Daphnia pulex: one gene and its partners. The protein of the gene in region 2 purifies or fractionates together with the protein of the main gene of each other region. This does not show direct contact. Links are inferred from orthologs where the notes say so. Each region holds a gene or a part of one and is shown on either strand. Other genes may lie near its edges.

What was found.
Region 1: the proteins of crooked neck-like protein 1 (region 2) and ATP-dependent RNA helicase DHX8-like purify together in Homo sapiens (affinity purification with mass spectrometry; 3 studies listed by BioGRID and IntAct, counting the BioPlex papers as one, with this or other methods). This does not show direct contact. The link is inferred for Daphnia pulex from reciprocal best matches to the Homo sapiens genes CRNKL1 and DHX8.
Region 3: the proteins of crooked neck-like protein 1 (region 2) and peptidyl-prolyl cis-trans isomerase E-like purify together in Homo sapiens (affinity purification with mass spectrometry; 3 studies listed by BioGRID and IntAct, counting the BioPlex papers as one, with this or other methods). This does not show direct contact. The link is inferred for Daphnia pulex from reciprocal best matches to the Homo sapiens genes CRNKL1 and PPIE.

What each region holds. Positions count from the first base shown.
Region 1 is NC_060022.1:2,535,432-2,540,857, forward strand, and holds the start of ATP-dependent RNA helicase DHX8-like, read right to left. Parts: upstream 3,636-5,426; 5' UTR 3,504-3,635; coding exon 495-3,503; intron 431-494; coding exon 165-430; intron 93-164; coding exon 1-92. Other genes in the region: merlin-like, read right to left, coding at 4,113-4,163, 4,222-4,381, 4,444-4,760, 4,821-5,072, 5,136-5,267, 5,338-5,426.
Region 2 is NC_060026.1:11,198,236-11,203,789, reverse strand, and holds crooked neck-like protein 1, read left to right. Parts: upstream 1-1,728; 5' UTR 1,729-1,819; coding exon 1,820-1,870; exon of another isoform or gene 1,871-1,873; intron 1,874-1,929; coding exon 1,930-2,019; intron 2,020-2,081; coding exon 2,082-2,300; intron 2,301-2,362; coding exon 2,363-2,583; intron 2,584-2,647; coding exon 2,648-3,096; intron 3,097-3,156; coding exon 3,157-3,464; intron 3,465-3,556; coding exon 3,557-3,781; intron 3,782-3,844; coding exon 3,845-4,041; intron 4,042-4,111; coding exon 4,112-4,298; intron 4,299-4,374; coding exon 4,375-4,635; 3' UTR 4,636-4,673; downstream 4,674-5,554. Other genes in the region: probable maleylacetoacetate isomerase 2, read left to right, coding at 200-208, 266-317, 376-443, 540-620, 720-924, 1,021-1,123, 1,188-1,314; DNA polymerase epsilon catalytic subunit A-like, read left to right, coding at 5,362-5,423, 5,484-5,554. UniProt on the Homo sapiens protein: Involved in pre-mRNA splicing process. As a component of the minor spliceosome, involved in the splicing of U12-type introns in pre-mRNAs.
Region 3 is NC_060020.1:8,629,163-8,633,864, forward strand, and holds peptidyl-prolyl cis-trans isomerase E-like, read left to right. Parts: upstream 1-1,776; 5' UTR 1,777-2,075; coding exon 2,076-2,112; intron 2,113-2,176; coding exon 2,177-2,349; intron 2,350-2,426; coding exon 2,427-2,834; intron 2,835-2,893; coding exon 2,894-3,081; intron 3,082-3,145; coding exon 3,146-3,281; 3' UTR 3,282-3,367; downstream 3,368-4,702. Other genes in the region: uncharacterized protein LOC124191929, read right to left, coding at 3,450-3,583, 3,679-3,781, 3,859-4,100, 4,174-4,201. UniProt on the Homo sapiens protein: Involved in pre-mRNA splicing as component of the spliceosome. Combines RNA-binding and PPIase activities.

The sequences.
Region 1 (5,426 bases), on a different chromosome or scaffold from region 2:
CCTTCTTGGCCGCATTACGGAAGAAACCCGAACAGATGGCTTTCTGCACCCTAGCCGTATTCTTGCCAGCCGATACCACGTCCAATTTGTGCCTGGAAAGTGTAGAAGAACAAATGTTAGATTTTTGAACGGATAATACAATTTGCATCAAAGACTAAACATACCTGTCCATAATGCCCAATAGCTGTTTACGAACATCCTGAGCTCGTTTTAAGGTACGCATCTGAACGAAATTCTCGTAACACCAGGCACTGCTAAACTTGTTGTTCTTCCAGGAATTGTAAACGGCCAATAAAGTGATGTGATCTCCTTCGGCTTGATTGAATTTGGCTTTCTTCTGATCAGCCAACTGTTGCTTATCTTTGGGTCGGTAGAAGACGTTCTGAACTGACAACATGGACACGACTGTCAAAATTTCGTCCGAACACATCTAAAACAAAAATTTTTAAAACGTCAATTACATCGATCAGGAACAATTGTTGATAATATCATACCAAGTGAACAGACATGATGAGCATCTTGGAGAGAGAAGGCTCCAGAGGAAATTCGGCCATACGTCGACCAAGACGCGTGAGTAATCCTTCGTCGTCTAGAGCGGAAAGGGAATGCAGCTGTTCAAGTGCCATGATAAGTGACTCCACAGGAGGAGCGTCCATGAAGTCGAAGTTGAGCAGGTCATTGATGCCCATAGCTTTGAGTTGCAGGACAGTGGAAGCGAGATTAGTACGCTGGATCTCGGGAACAGGCGTGGCAAGCATTTCATCACGATAAGCTCGCTCCGTGTACAAGCGGTAAGTCTTTCCAGGTCCAGTACGACCGGCGCGACCAGCTCGCTGCTTGGCTTGCGCCTGTGAAATGGGTGTCACCACCAAAGAGTCCATTCCGGTCTTGGAATTGTAGACTTTCTGCTTGACAAAACCAGGATCGACGACATAGTAGATACCGTCGATGGTAAGACTGGTCTCGGCGATGTTGGTGGCGATAACAACTTTTCGGGAGCCTGGTGGAGCCGGTTCGAAAATTCGAGTTTGCATTTCAGACGGTAGAGCGGAATAGACGGGAAGAATGATGAGCTCAGGAACGTCAGGGCCCATGGACTTCATGCGCTCGTATAGAATTTCGCAGGCAGTATCGATCTCTTCCTGACCAGTCAAGAAAAGAAGAATGTCGCCCGGTGGTTCGTTAAGGTGGATCTGCATGACGGTAATGAGCGAGGCATCCAAGTAATCCGTCTCAGGTTCCCGAGTATACAATATCTCGACGGGAAAAGTTCGACCCGGAATGGTGAAGATGGGCGCCTCGAAAAAGTACTGCGAGAATTTCACGGCATCCAAAGTGGCCGACGTTACGATGAGTTTGAGTTCGGCTCGCTTCTGGACGGCTTGCTTGAGAAGACCGAAAAGAACGTCTGTGTGAATAGTTCTTTCGTGGGCTTCGTCCAACATGATGCAGGAATACGATTGCAGATCGGGATCAATCAAGCATTCACGCAGCAACATACCATCCGTCATGTACTTGATCAAAGTTTCAGGACTGGTGCAATCTTCAAAACGAATCGTGTATCCAACTTCCTGTCCTAGACGACAACCAAACTCTTCCGAAACTCGCTTGGCAACGGACATGGCGGCCACACGACGAGGCTGCGTACAGCCGATCTTTCCACGAGCCGTGAATCCGGACTCGGATAGATATTGAGTGATTTGCGTAGTTTTTCCCGAGCCCGTCTCACCGATGACAATTAGGATTTGGTTGTCATTGACAGCTTTGATCAGTTCATCTCTGAGTTTGTAGATGGGAAGTGATTGACGTTGCTCGACGATGGACAAACTAGTTTTCTTGCCGAAAGAGGCTCCTTTCGGTCCACCAGTGATGTGCTTTTTCCATTCGGGCATGTCGTATACAGGGGCTCCCGTTCCGCGACCCAACGACGTTGACGGTGCAGCCCCAGCATCCGGCATGGGATCAATCCAGGTCTTGTTGGCGCCTTGAGCCGGTGCGTCAGCTGCTTCTTGTTCTTCTCTGAGCAACATTTTCTGTTCGCGGCGTTCTTTGCTGAGAGCGCCTTGCATCATGGCGGCTTGAGCTAGAGAACCGTCGGGATTCTTGACGATACGAACCGGACTAAGTTCATTAAGCACTCGACCGTGACCTCGAAGAAAGGGTGCCTCTTCTTCCACCAACTCGATTTCGATATCTTCTTCGTCTTCGGCCAGCTTTGGCAGTAAACCCGTTTCTTCGTCGAATTCGGGCAAGTCCATTTTGTCGATACAATTTGCTGCCATCATTTGCTTCAGTTCCCAGCGTTCAGGAGACGAAATCCGTTGCACACGCTTGCGGTTGGTTAGTTCATCCTCCTCTACATTTGCCTTCAAATCTAGCAATGAGAGAGGTCGATCTGGATTCCTTAAAGCTGTTTCACTTTCCTGGCTGGTTAGTCCAGGGCGGCTTGACGTCGAAGGAGCTGGGTTCAAATCTTCGCCAGTGTCTTGGTCCACATCTTTCATAGAAAGAGAGATCTTTTGGCCAGCAATGCTCATAACTTTGACATGAACCTTATCTCCACGATTGACAACTTCAGCCACACTATTCACACGGCCTTCTCGTCGCAACTGGGAGATGTGCACTAGACCCTCACATTTTTTCCGTATTCCTTCAATTTGTACAAAACAACCAAAAGCTGCAAGATTCATGATTTTTCCCGCGTAGACATTTCCCACTTCTGGATTCTCTGGAAAATCTTTTTGAGGTTTCTTTCGACTTGGGGATTCTCGTCTGCCTTCGTTACTTCTTTTATCATGATGACGATCACTTGTTCTGTTTCGATCTCCTCTATCTGTACTCCTGGACCTGTGACTTCTGTCCCTGCTTCTTGATCTCCTCTTTTGATCTCTGCTTCTTGACCTTCTACTTCGGTCTCTGCTTCTGGATCTCTTGCTGCGGTCTCTGCTTCTTGATCTTCTGCTGCGGTCCTTGCTTCTTGAACGTCTGCTTCTTTCCTTCTTGTCTTTACTCCTTGCTCTTTCCTGAACAGGCTCGATTGCTTCAGTAGAAATCTTTTCTTCTTTAGGAGCCATGGCTTCTAGTTCAGCCATTAAATCGTTAGCTTCTTCAACATCTTTAATAGTCAATTTTATGTCTTCGAGAAGCATTGTTCTTGCCTTAGGGTTATCTGCTAAGGCAAGACCAGGGAAGAGTTCCCGTTTCTTCTCTGTTTCTGCATTGTAAACTGTTTTCTTTACCTGGGCTAAGTTCACATCAGTTGTTTTCGAGTTGGCTGATTTCATGTGTTTGATAAGACGAAGCAAATTTGCAATGAGAGAGTCTGAAAACTCGGCGCCATTCTCCAGCATTACACTTTTGAACTCATCAAAGGTCTTGTGTTTTTCGGCCAATGCGATGATGAACTCTGCCAGATCTTTATCGTTGAGTCCCAAATGGTTTTCCAATTCTGTGCACACCTTAGAAACAAGCGACAGGTGTTCGAGTTTCTCTAATTCATCCATGATGATATAGGATATTTTGCCACTTATTAAATCATTTACAAATTGACAGCACAACAATTGGGATGGCGACGAATGTGGAAATTGACGAGCCGACGAAAAAACGAATGCTTTCGTTGTTAAGACAACGTTGCAAGAATGCTGTAAAAGAAAAATCAAAATTAATAGATGAACTGGCAACATTGCGCGCAAAAAATATTTACATTTTTTCGAAATGAATTTGTTAACTTTTGCGTTTCACAGATTGAAATGAAGAATTATCTAATCTTTCTCGGTTCTCTGCATTTTGTGTTTGAATTTGAATGAAACTTTTCCATGTTCATATTGAATTGGTATTCTAGACATACAGGTTCATTTTGCAAAATTCATATAAGAATGTAAACAACGCCGATGCTGCTACTAGTAAAAGACATTACTCATTAGTCAACAAGAGTTAAGTTTTTTTTAAATGAAAGTCTATTTGTCTAATGTCTATGATGATAAGATTTCACGAAAATGGGCAACTTAGTGAATTAAAGATTATAAACTAAGTTGCATCCATGAAAATGGTCAGCCAATTTAAAATTTATGTACAACACATTGTCAAAAGTAAAATTAAAAATATGACTTAAGCTACAGCTCTTCGAAAAAGGCCACGCGCGCTCCAGTCGATCCAGATTTTGACTAGGAAAAAAAGAAAAATTAACTCAAATTTGAATTAATGACTCTCATTCATGCGTACCTTTTTGAGAGTTGAGTATTTGTCGTCCCCTGAACGGAGTTGCTCTTCGTGTAGCTGATCGTAAAGCGTTTGTTTTTCACCTACTTTCAAGACTTCAATCTCTGTACGCAATTCTCTCAGTTGCTCCTGCAGTTGCTTCGATTTTTCCAAGTATTCGACTCTAAATTTATTTTAAAAAATGAGCAAACAATTACGCAACAATTCCTACGATAGATTTACAACCTCTCTTTCTCAATTTCAAGTGAGAGTTGCTCCATATCGCCATGTGTCATAAGGTCATAGTTGGATGAAGAGTTGACCAGTTCGGAAGCAGCAATAGCTGATAGATATCCACTACTACTTAAGCCAGTTAAGTTGGTGAGGCCAGTAAGCTGATTAGCCAGCGGAATAGGAAGGCGGGCCTCATAAGCCGGCAAACTTGCTTCGTTAGAGACATCGTCGAGTCGTCGTAAATGTTGCTGAATGTCCGACTGATGATGTAAATGGTGGTCTGATCCAGCTACCGACGAACTTGATGTCGGAAACAAGTTGGGAACAGACTGAAAAATGGTAATTGTAGTTATTCGCTCATTAAAATGTTGACAGAAACTGCAAAGTACCAGGACAGACGCGGACGACGGGATGCGTGTAATTGGACGAGATGCCGAGTGTAAGGCTGCAACACTAGCTTGTGTTGTTAAAAACTCTAGTAGCTTCTTTTTGGCTTGAGTTTCAGCGTAACGGGCCTGCAAAAGGTCACCTTTTAGCTGCTCTGCTTCTGCTGCACAACGCTCAGAATTCTCTAATAACCTTGAGGCAATTTGCTTCGCCTCATGTAATTGTCTCTGAGACAAAAGTTTTTCCTCTTCGGTCTAGACGCAAAAAGACAATTAAATGTAAAGCTACCTAAATAAGTTATGAAAAAATTCACTTACTTTCATGGCAGATAAACGAATTCTTTGCAACTCTTGTTCAGCGTCTGAGGCTTTTTGAGTTAACAACATTGACTCTTCTTCTGCAACTCGCGCCTTTTCGGCCAGCAGCTCAGCCGACTCTTCGGAACGCCTCTACAAAATTGGTATAATGAAATACTGTACTTGATACTAAAACTAAAAATTAAACTGAAGAATATCATACCAACTGTTCGTTCGCTACACGGAATTCTTCCTGAAAGTGAATTAACTGTTGTTCTAGGGCTGCTTTTTCACGTTCAGCTGTTTCGCGTA
Region 2 (5,554 bases):
AGGACCAGGTTGGGTCTAGTGCCGCTACATTCGAATCCCCGAAGGTGATCGTCACGAATTCCTATGTGCTTGTTTGTCTGTTTGACCCTCAAGGCTTTCTTTCTTGTAATCCCCCAAAACTACGTTCGGGTAGTTGAGTCAGGTTGAGTAGTCGACTGCTTTAAAGTTGACATTCACAAGTGATAGCGTAGATAGAATAATGAGCACGGTAATTCAATTAAAATAAGTTTTATAAAAAGCTCTTGTATCAATTTTTCGTTTTTAGGTTGTACTATACTCATATTTTCGAAGTTCGTGTTCATGGAGAGTGCGTATAGGTAAAAAACGTAAATAAATATATCTTTAAGATTAATTTACATGAAAGTATTTATTTAGCTCTAGAATTTAAAGAAATTGAATATGAATACAAAGCTGTTCATTTAGTGAAGGGAGGTGGTCAGCAGGTACTAAATTTTAAAATTATTAAATCATCACAATGTTCACAGTTAAACCCATATAAATAGCTAAAATACCGCTGGCATATTTTTCTATGTATTTAGAATGCTGATGACTATAAAATCATAAACCCCATGGCTCAAGTTCCATCACTAACAATTGGGGACAAAGTTTTCACTCAGTCGGTAAGAGGGACACTATATGAATATGACACTATAGATATATAAGACCTTCCAGTTCAAATTTCAATGCATAATTTTTACTTCCATCTCCTGTACATTTAGGTAGCTATTTTGGAATATTTAGAAGAATCTTATCCTTTAAAACCCTTATTGCCAAAAGATGGTGTGATTAGATTCAAAGTGAGAGAAATATGTGAAATTATTGGTTCTGGGATTCAACCCTTACAGAATTTGGCTGTACTTAAACAATTTGAAGAATCTAAACAGAAAGATTGGGCTGCTAAGTGGATTTTCAAAGGACTCACTGGTAGGTGAAGATCTTCATGAATATATCAATAAAAAAATTAATAAACTCTAAGAAATATGTGCAAAGTTTATATAAAAACCCAATTTTTTATTACAGCATTAGAAAAAATATTAGAAACTTCCAGTGGAAATTACTGTGTTGGAGATGATGTTACAATGGCTGATTGTTGCCTTATCCCACAACTGTACAATGCAAGGAGGTAAAGACTAAAGTTTCCATGATTCGTTTCATGTTCTCTTTTTCTCACGCTTCGTCTGAATAAGGTTTGATGTGGACGTGGCACAGTTTCCTAATATTGCTCGTGTGGAAAAGAATCTCGAAGTTCTTGAGCCTTTCGTAAAGGCTCACCCGAGCCGACAACCAGATTGCCCGCCTGAACTTTCAGCATGAAAATAAAACAAAAAAATTGATGTGAAATAGTCGGACTTCAGTCCATAGAATAACGATATTAAACGATGATTATAATTTGGTCGATGGGTTGCGAATACGGGAGAATGAATTGCAATGGAACTTGTTATGCTGTTTGATATTTACTGAAAAATAAACAAAATTTGCCATTATCACTTATCAGATATTTGCAATATTTATGTCTTGAAACTATAGAATAAATAGAGTGTATTCCAGTATTCCTGTAAAACTGAAACCTGAAAAGTGCTAAATCCGGTTAAAATCTTTCAAAAAACCTGTTGAAAGCTGGTAAACAATCAATCTGGCAACGTCCGATTCGTCGTCTGTTCGGTTCGTACGAGTCGCGCTCGCGCAACTGCAATCTGCAAGAAGCATCACTTGCTCGTGTCAGTTCAATACTACAGTACCAAGTGTCAGTCATAGACTCATATCTGTTAAAACCTTATTTTATTTTTTTTACAAGTGCTCATTTAAAAAGTAATCTAAAATGGATTCGGGTGGATTCGGTAAACCACAAAAACCTCCTAAAGTTGCCAAGGTTGTAATACTTAAATGTAAGAATGCTCTTGACATTACTTATAACACATTTCTCTTTAGGTTAAAAACAAAACACCGGCAGAAATTCAAATCACTGCTGAGCAGTTGCTTCGGGAAGCTAAGGAACGTGATCTTGAAATTGTTCCACCAGTAAGTGTTTCGGCAATAGATAACAACTTGAAGAACTGAAGTAAGAAATTTTCTATTTTTAGCCCCCTAAACAAAAAATTTCAGATCCCGATGAGTTAGCAGACTACCAGTACAAGAAACGCAAAACCTTTGAAGATGCTCTGCGGCGTAATCGTAATGTTATTACCAACTGGATCAAGTATGCTCAATGGGAAGAAAGCCAAAAAGAAATTCAAAGAGCCAGAAGTGTTTTTGAGCGTGCTCTTGATGTAGACCATCGTAACATTACCCTTTGGCTGAAGGTAATTAATTTTCATTTGTTAAATCTGTGAAATAATAAATATCTAATTTTAAAAAAATTTAGTATTCAGAAATGGAAATGAAAAATAAGCAAGTCAATCATGCCAGAAACTTGTGGGACCGTGCAGTTACAATTTTGCCTAGAGCAAATCAGTTTTGGTATAAATATACCTACATGGAGGAAATGCTGGCCAATATAGCTGGTTGTCGTCAAGTATTTGAAAGGTGGATGGAATGGCAGCCAGATGAACAAGCTTGGCAAACATACATCAATTTTGAATTAAGGTAAATAAATGTAGTAAATACTAACGTTACACTTATCAACGTCCAATTTTTGTCCAATAACTAGGTATAAAGAATTAGATCGTGCTCGCTCAATTTTTGAACGGTTTGTCTATGTGCACCCGGAAGTAAAAAATTGGATCAAGTATGCCAAGTTTGAAGAAAGGAACGGTTACATTATCGGTGCCCGCCAGGTGTATGAACGGTCGGTGGATTTTTATGGTGATGATCACATGGACGAAAGGCTTTTCATAGCCTTTTCCAAGTTTGAAGAGGGCCAAAAAGAACATGAACGAGCAACTGCTATTTACAAATTTGCTCTCGAACACATGTCAAAAGATAAAGCAGCAGAATTGTACAAAGCCTACACAATTCACCAGAAAAAATTTGGAGAGCGTGACGCTATAGAAGACGTTATTGTCAGTAAAAGAAAATTTCAGTATGAACAAGAAATTAAAGAAAATCCATCAAATTATGATGCATGGTTTGATTATTTACGCCTAATGGAAAGTGAAGGTATTTTGACTTACTATCAAATTTTTAAGGAATTGTGTCGAATGTGTATTGTATCTTTAGGTGACGCTGACGTTGAAGTAGTGCGAGATACATACGAAAGAGCTATTGCCAACATCCCGCTAGTAGCTGAGAAGTCCTTTTGGCGTCGTTACATCTATCTGTGGATTAACTATGCACTTTTCGAAGAACTGGAAGCCGAAGATTATGAAAAAACTCGACAGGTCTACGATTCATGTCTTAAGCTCATTCCGCATCGTAACTTCACATTCGCCAAAATGTGGCTCCTTTACGCCCATTTCGAAGTTCGACAGAAAAATCTGCAATTGGCGCGTAAAATTTTAGGTACTGCGATTGGTAAATGTCCAAAGGTAAATATGTTTCAGTATTTTTTCTTTCAAATATGAAATCTAATTAGAGGCCAGTCTATGAACCAGTTTTTAATAAATCTGGTTATTTATAGAACAAGTTGTTCCGTGGATATATTGATTTGGAGATCCAGCTGAGAGAATTTGACCGCTGCAGGACATTGTATGAAAAGTTCCTCCAAAACGGTCCAGAAAATTGCACCACTTGGATGAAATTCGCCGAACTAGAAACTTTACTGGGAGATGTGGATCGTGCTCGCGGCATTTACGAGCTTGCCATCAAGCAGCCTCTACTAGATATGCCAGAAATTCTTTGGAAGGTAAATTAAACTTTAAATATGTGCACAGATCTCATTCCTAATGGAGTTGTGTTTGTTCTTCAGGCTTACATCGATTTTGAAATCGAACAAGAGGAGAATGATAAAGCCCGATCGTTATATGAGAGACTTCTAGAACGCACGCAGCACGTAAAAGTCTGGATGAGTTTTGCTCAATTTGAGCTCACTCTAGCAGCATCTCAGCAGGAGGACCCAAGTTTGCCAGTCGCAGCAGCTAGAGCAGTCTTCCAGCGTGCAAACAAGTTCGCATTTCTTTGCTTTGAACTATTAGCCTCCGTAAATTACCTTCTTAATTCCCCATTATGTTACTAGGTCGCTACGTTCTATAGCTCAGTCAGTCGGTCTTGAAGTGGCTACCAACAAAGAGGAGCGATTGATGTTGTTGGAGGCTTGGCAAGAATTCGAATATGAATATGGAGATGAGGGATCTCGCAATGCGGTTGTTAACTTGATGCCTAGACGTGTGAAGAAGAGGAGGCGGATCCAAACACAAGATGGGGTATGTGATAATATTTTGCGTTTAGATGCAAAATTTTGTGCGTTGCAATGTTTTTTTCTTTTCTTTTTTTTTTTAGACCGATGCTGGTTGGGAAGAGTATTTCGACTACATTTTCCCCGAGGATGAAGCTACTAAACCCAATCTTAAGCTCTTGGCTATGGCCAAAGCTTGGAAAATGGCAAAAGAATCCGCTCCATCAAACCAGGAAGAGGAACTACCCAAAAGCAATGCTCCATTGGCTGACACTGTGTTACCACCAGTGTCCTTGTCCACAGTCCCCGACGATCGCGATGATTCGAGTGAATCATCTAGTAGTGAATCTGAAAATAAGGATTAGCTACTACTGGAATAGAAAATACACTTTTTAAAAAATGATTTGAGTGTCATCGTACATATCAGTTTGAGGGTCTTATAAAATTAATTTTCCTTTTCAAATCGTTAACAATAAATTTGTTTCATTAAGTTAAAGCTATAGTAACACTAGTAACTGACACTACTACAGCTCTGCGTTGTGGTTACTACGGATAAAAATCATTTTCGAAAACCCTACCATATAGAATTCTATAGATAATACCATGGTGTATTAGTACTAATACACCATAAGAATACTATATACTATAGAGTATTCTATAGCTCTGACCCTACTGATAGTAAATCGTTTAACTTTTCAGAAAAATAATTGAATTCCAATTTTAGGGAATCAGTTATCAATAGCAGTCTAGTTTCTTTATCCACGTCTCCACCAGAGCCTCCACTTTTTCCGGGATTCCGGCATTTCCGCTTTTTCGAATTTTTTATCCGCACTTCAATTATTACTATTTGGCAACAGCTTTGGGGTTCGGAAAAGGCGGCAAATTTTTCTCTTTCTTCTGCTAGACTAGACTAGAAGAAGCAAGTGCAGCAAGAAGAAGACACAGAACTTGATCCAATCATTGCCTCATTGATCGTGTTTATTGTTTTGTCTTCAGAAGATTTTCTAGTTTACGAACGTGGCCAGTGCACCTAAAGTCCCCTCAAAAAAGAAGCTGTTGGTAGATGGCTATATTTTCGTTTAATTGTGAAAATGGTGTACCAAAACACTGGAAAGTATAGGGCAGATAAGAGCAGCAAAGAGAAAAGTGCAGGGTAATAGTAACTACATATATTTTTAAAATATAATAAAGTAATATAAATTTTATGTTTTAGTGGGAAAGAAGATTTGGCTGAATCTCGCATAACAAGAGTAAATGAAAACAAAGCTATTGACGAGAAATATG
Region 3 (4,702 bases), on a different chromosome or scaffold from region 2:
CGAGTGAGAGGGTTGAGCCGTATATCTTTCTCCATATTGCAAAGATTTTTTCATATTTTTTTAAGACAAAGTTTTGATTACACATTATTTTCTCTTGAAGAAAGCTGGGCAGGACAGCTATTTCTTGGCTTTTACACAATCCACCAACTGAGAAGCTCTTTGGTAATGTTGAAATGTATGAAGAGTACAGTCCATTAAACTTGGAGTTCAAAATGAAGAAAGTTAGACATTCTGCTGTAGTCATACTGAACTGTAGTAAGTCAGGAATCTCTGCCAAAACTTTTTCTTTAGTGATAAGAAGACTTTGGGGGATCTGGACTAGCAGATGGTTAGGAGCTATGTTAGACATAGCCATGAGACCTCGTCCAGTGCTATTAAACAGAGCTGGCTTTGTAACTAAACAATTTTTTGACACAGCATTCCAACCATTCGCACTCATCCATTTACAAAGTTCAACGAATTCTGAATGTGAATCAATCCGAAGTGGGCGAGAATGCACAATTCGAACCAACCTGTTTCGGATTCTAGATGTTCGTCCCATGTTTTTTTATAATGGAAATATATTTAATTTAACACCACAACTTTATACCACATTCATATTCTCACAGTTTTTCAATAAACTCACGGCGGTTTTCTTTTCGAATAGAGATGAAACAATTGGTTAAAATGAAATTTACGGCTGCTTACACTTGACTTCAAATCTTACTGAGTTTACACTTTACACATTTTGTTTACATCAGAGTGATCAGACGACTATGAGTTGACAGTGACAGGAATAGGGACGGGTGGGTTGAATCCGAAGTGGCTAGTCCGCTTTCATATGTATGGTTTGAGATGTAGCCCTTTACGCACCAGGAAGTGCTTGATTTCTAGTACATCTTTTGGATCCTAGGGCAAAATGCACGCCACTAGAGGCGCTATGCCCACGAAGTGAACGAACTAATGCTTGTCGCTTGACAGCTCTTTTTATACTAAATGCTATCCAGCACTCCCTAATGCATTAAAAAGGACGTTGCCTTCCCCCAAGCCTAGAGAGTAGAGACGTAGCAGTAGATACGTCTAAATAATTTTTTTACTTGACATAAATCATTTTCTATGATAGCCTAGCCTTAAGCCCTTAACTTTCCAAATTAATTAAAAAGAAAACCGTTATTCGTACGCAGGTACACTATCCCTTAACGGAAGTGTGAAAAAACAGGTTCGGTTTTAATTGAATAACTGAAACGCTATTCATCACAAAGAGAAAGATTTGAAAATAAATGCGGAACTTGCATTTGAGACAACCAGACGTCAACGAAAAAGAAGTGCGCGTTATTAAGATCTACCTCTAAAATTTATGCGATCTCTTTTGTCGTTAAAGAAAATCGGCCCAAATATTATATATTTTGAGATAAAATCCGCGGGTTAATGTCAATGGATTTATTAGATCCAATTCCTTGTTGTAGTTATTATATACCAGAGAGATGTATATTTTTCCTATATCACTGGCAAAACCAACAGTCAGATTCACGTCGATGTCCGTTAAATTTTTCTTAAATTTTTGGTTTAGTGCTTTAGTCTCAATTTTAAAAAAATTCCGCGATCCTCCCATCAGATACCTTAAAGTAGCAGCGAAGAAGCAACAAGTTTACTAGTTTTGGAGTAGCCTTTTTATTTTGCGTTTATTTGAATTTATTTTGATTCAAATAAAATAATCTGATGGGCTATTTGAATTTGGAAAAATCTCCAAAAAGTCGCTAAAAAGCGGAACAGCCACTTTGGTTCTAGCTCTACTGATCGTATAACGAAGCGAAACATGCTGTCTGCAGTCTCTGCACTCTGACGAACGTGTTTGACTGTTTGCCCACGCCAGTTTTCAGTTTGATTAGTCTGCAACCTGTGAATCGGTATTTTATTATTGTCCTCACTGTGCATAATAATAAGGAAGGTTTAGACAGTGATATTTATATATTACTCATTAGCTTATGGGGATGCTTTGAACATTGAGAATTTCAATACTTTACGTAAAGTTTTTGAACACGTAACCTCGATTCTTGATAATCTTTCTTGTGGTGCATTCAAATTTGTGCCGCAACATGTCATCTAACAATGCCAAGCGAAACATCTATGTCGGTAAGATCAAATAACATATTTCAGTCTTACGAAATGTAATGCTTACTGTGATTCATTTTAACAGGTGGCCTTCCTGATGAGGCAGATGAATCAGTAGTGCGTGCAGCCTTTATTCCTTTCGGAGAAATTGTTAATATAGAAATACCTCCAGATTATGAAAATCATGAAAAACATAGAGGTTTCTCTTTTATTGAGTATGAACTAGCTGAAGATGCTGCTGCCGCAATTGATAACATGGTATTCTCACAATTTCTTACAGTTTATCTAGTAAACAAATATTTAATTACTTGCCATCATGGATGCCTTTCTTTCAGAATGATTCTGAGTTGTTTGGCAAAACAATTACTGTAAACATTGCAAGACCTCGGAAAATTAAGGAAGGATATTCTAGACCAGTTTGGTCAGAGGATTCTTGGTTGCAAAAATATGCTGGAAAGACAGAAGAAAATAAAAATCCAGTGGAGGAAAACAATAAGGAATCAACTGAAGGGAAAGACAATGTTTCTGAATCTGAAACTAAGTCAGCAGTTTCTAAAAAGCCTCGCGGCAACCCTCAAGTGTACATGGATCTTAAAGCTGGAAAAATCAATTTGGGCAGAATAATTATTTTATTGAGAGCTGATGTCGCCCCTAAAACATCTGAAAATTTTCTTGCTCTCTGCACTCATGAAAAAGGTTATGGATTCATGAATTCCAGTTTTCATCGTATTATTCCAGGATTTGTAAGCGGAAAGCTCAGTTTTAATCAATATTTATTTTTATTAACGTTCTTTTGCAAAAGATGTGTCAAGGTGGTGATTTTACTAACGGTGATGGAACCGGTGGTCGATCAATTTTCGGTGGAAACGGGAAATTCGAAGACGAAAATTTTACGTTGAAGCACAACGGTCCTGGTATTCTGTCTATGGCGAATTCAGGCCCAAATTCAAATGGATCCCAATTTTTTCTAACCCTTGACAAAGCAGAATGGTAGGTTTTTTCCCTGTTAAAATATCATAGTTATAATGCTAATAGCACCTTTATGTTTTCAAAGGTTGGATAACAAGCACGTCGTATTTGGTCAACTTCTTGCCGGCCTAGATGTTTTACGTAAAGTGGAGAAGTACGGAACAAAGTCTGGTAAACCGACTGACAAAGTCATTATGTCCGCCTGTGGAGAACTATTGTAACACATGAATAAAAGAAGCTTTTTTTTAACTACATTGTTTAATGACCAATGTCTTGTGCTCATGAAAAATATAAACAAACAAATTGATTGGACTACAGTATATTCCAACCCTCTTCCCTCCCGGAAAAAAACAAAAAAACAAAAGAAAAACATTAACGTCATGGGTCCTTTAATTTTCGTTGAGATTTTCATATTGATTGATCCAGCTATGAATCAAATCTTGGATGTAATTGTCTTGCAGGTCTTTGGGTATCCGCGGTCCCGGATAATTCAATTCTTTATTTAATGCGCCTGTTAGTTCATCTAAACAAGTAAAATAATTGGTATGTTTACAGGAAATTCCCAAGTTTGACATTTTTTAGACACTGTAAGGTATTTGAATGAAAAAAGATATTTACTAATATTCATATTAGGCCACAAATCTTGCTTCTGATTCATAATGGGAATTTCATTGGATATACGGCCAAAAGGTTCCTCCCCAACCATTGCCGCCCGACCAGACTTCGAAAGATATATATATTTTTTTTTAAGTTTAGAAATAATTATCTGATTTTTTACGTCTACTGTGGACTACACACCTCCGTGGAAATATCCTTGCGCCTACCCAAACGAGGAACCGCCTTTGATGCCTTCAGAAAAAAATTAGAGAGACTTCCTTCGTGAGGAAAAGATTCTGAATTCATGTATTCAGCGATGATTCCTTCACCTCGTCGGCCGATTCGAGGAATCTTTTGTCGAAACCTATTATAATTCGGATTAAACGGTTCCGGGCTGGGATCTGATAAGGCAGACGCCAGCAGTAGCCACGTTAAAAACAGTCCTTGATTTAACAAAACGACATTAGTTGGTTCACTTTGTACTGTAAAGCAAGAATTAAATTCAAATATAAAAACCTTTTATCATTATTAGCTCTCGATACATGATCACTGTAACAGGAATAAGTTGATCTCTGTCCAACTGCGACAACTGAGCGTGACAACTGAACGCAAAACTACCATCTAACCGTGTTATAAAGGATTTTCCCCATTTCCATTTTTTAATTTTACATCATGCGGATGACATACGGGTTTTGACATATGGGGACACAGTATTGCTATTGCCCCCATCTTTCCGTATTATTTGTTTCAGTGAGGTTGATGTCGTCAATAACGCAGCAGGACTTCACTGTATAATATACATAATAAAAATTACCATCACCAGCAGCATTGTCTGATACGGGTCGGTTCGACGACAATCATGCGTAGTATTGTACTGGATTTAAGCTGTTTAGTGGCCGAACATAAAACCTTAACTGCTTAACCATAAAATATGTTCTAAGTTTGCTTTAAAAATTTTTTAATATTCAGTAACATATCAGGAAATCATTTTTGCAAACCTTGAATGCGTTGAATGACTTGAATCCTTTAAAAATAATTCGAAATT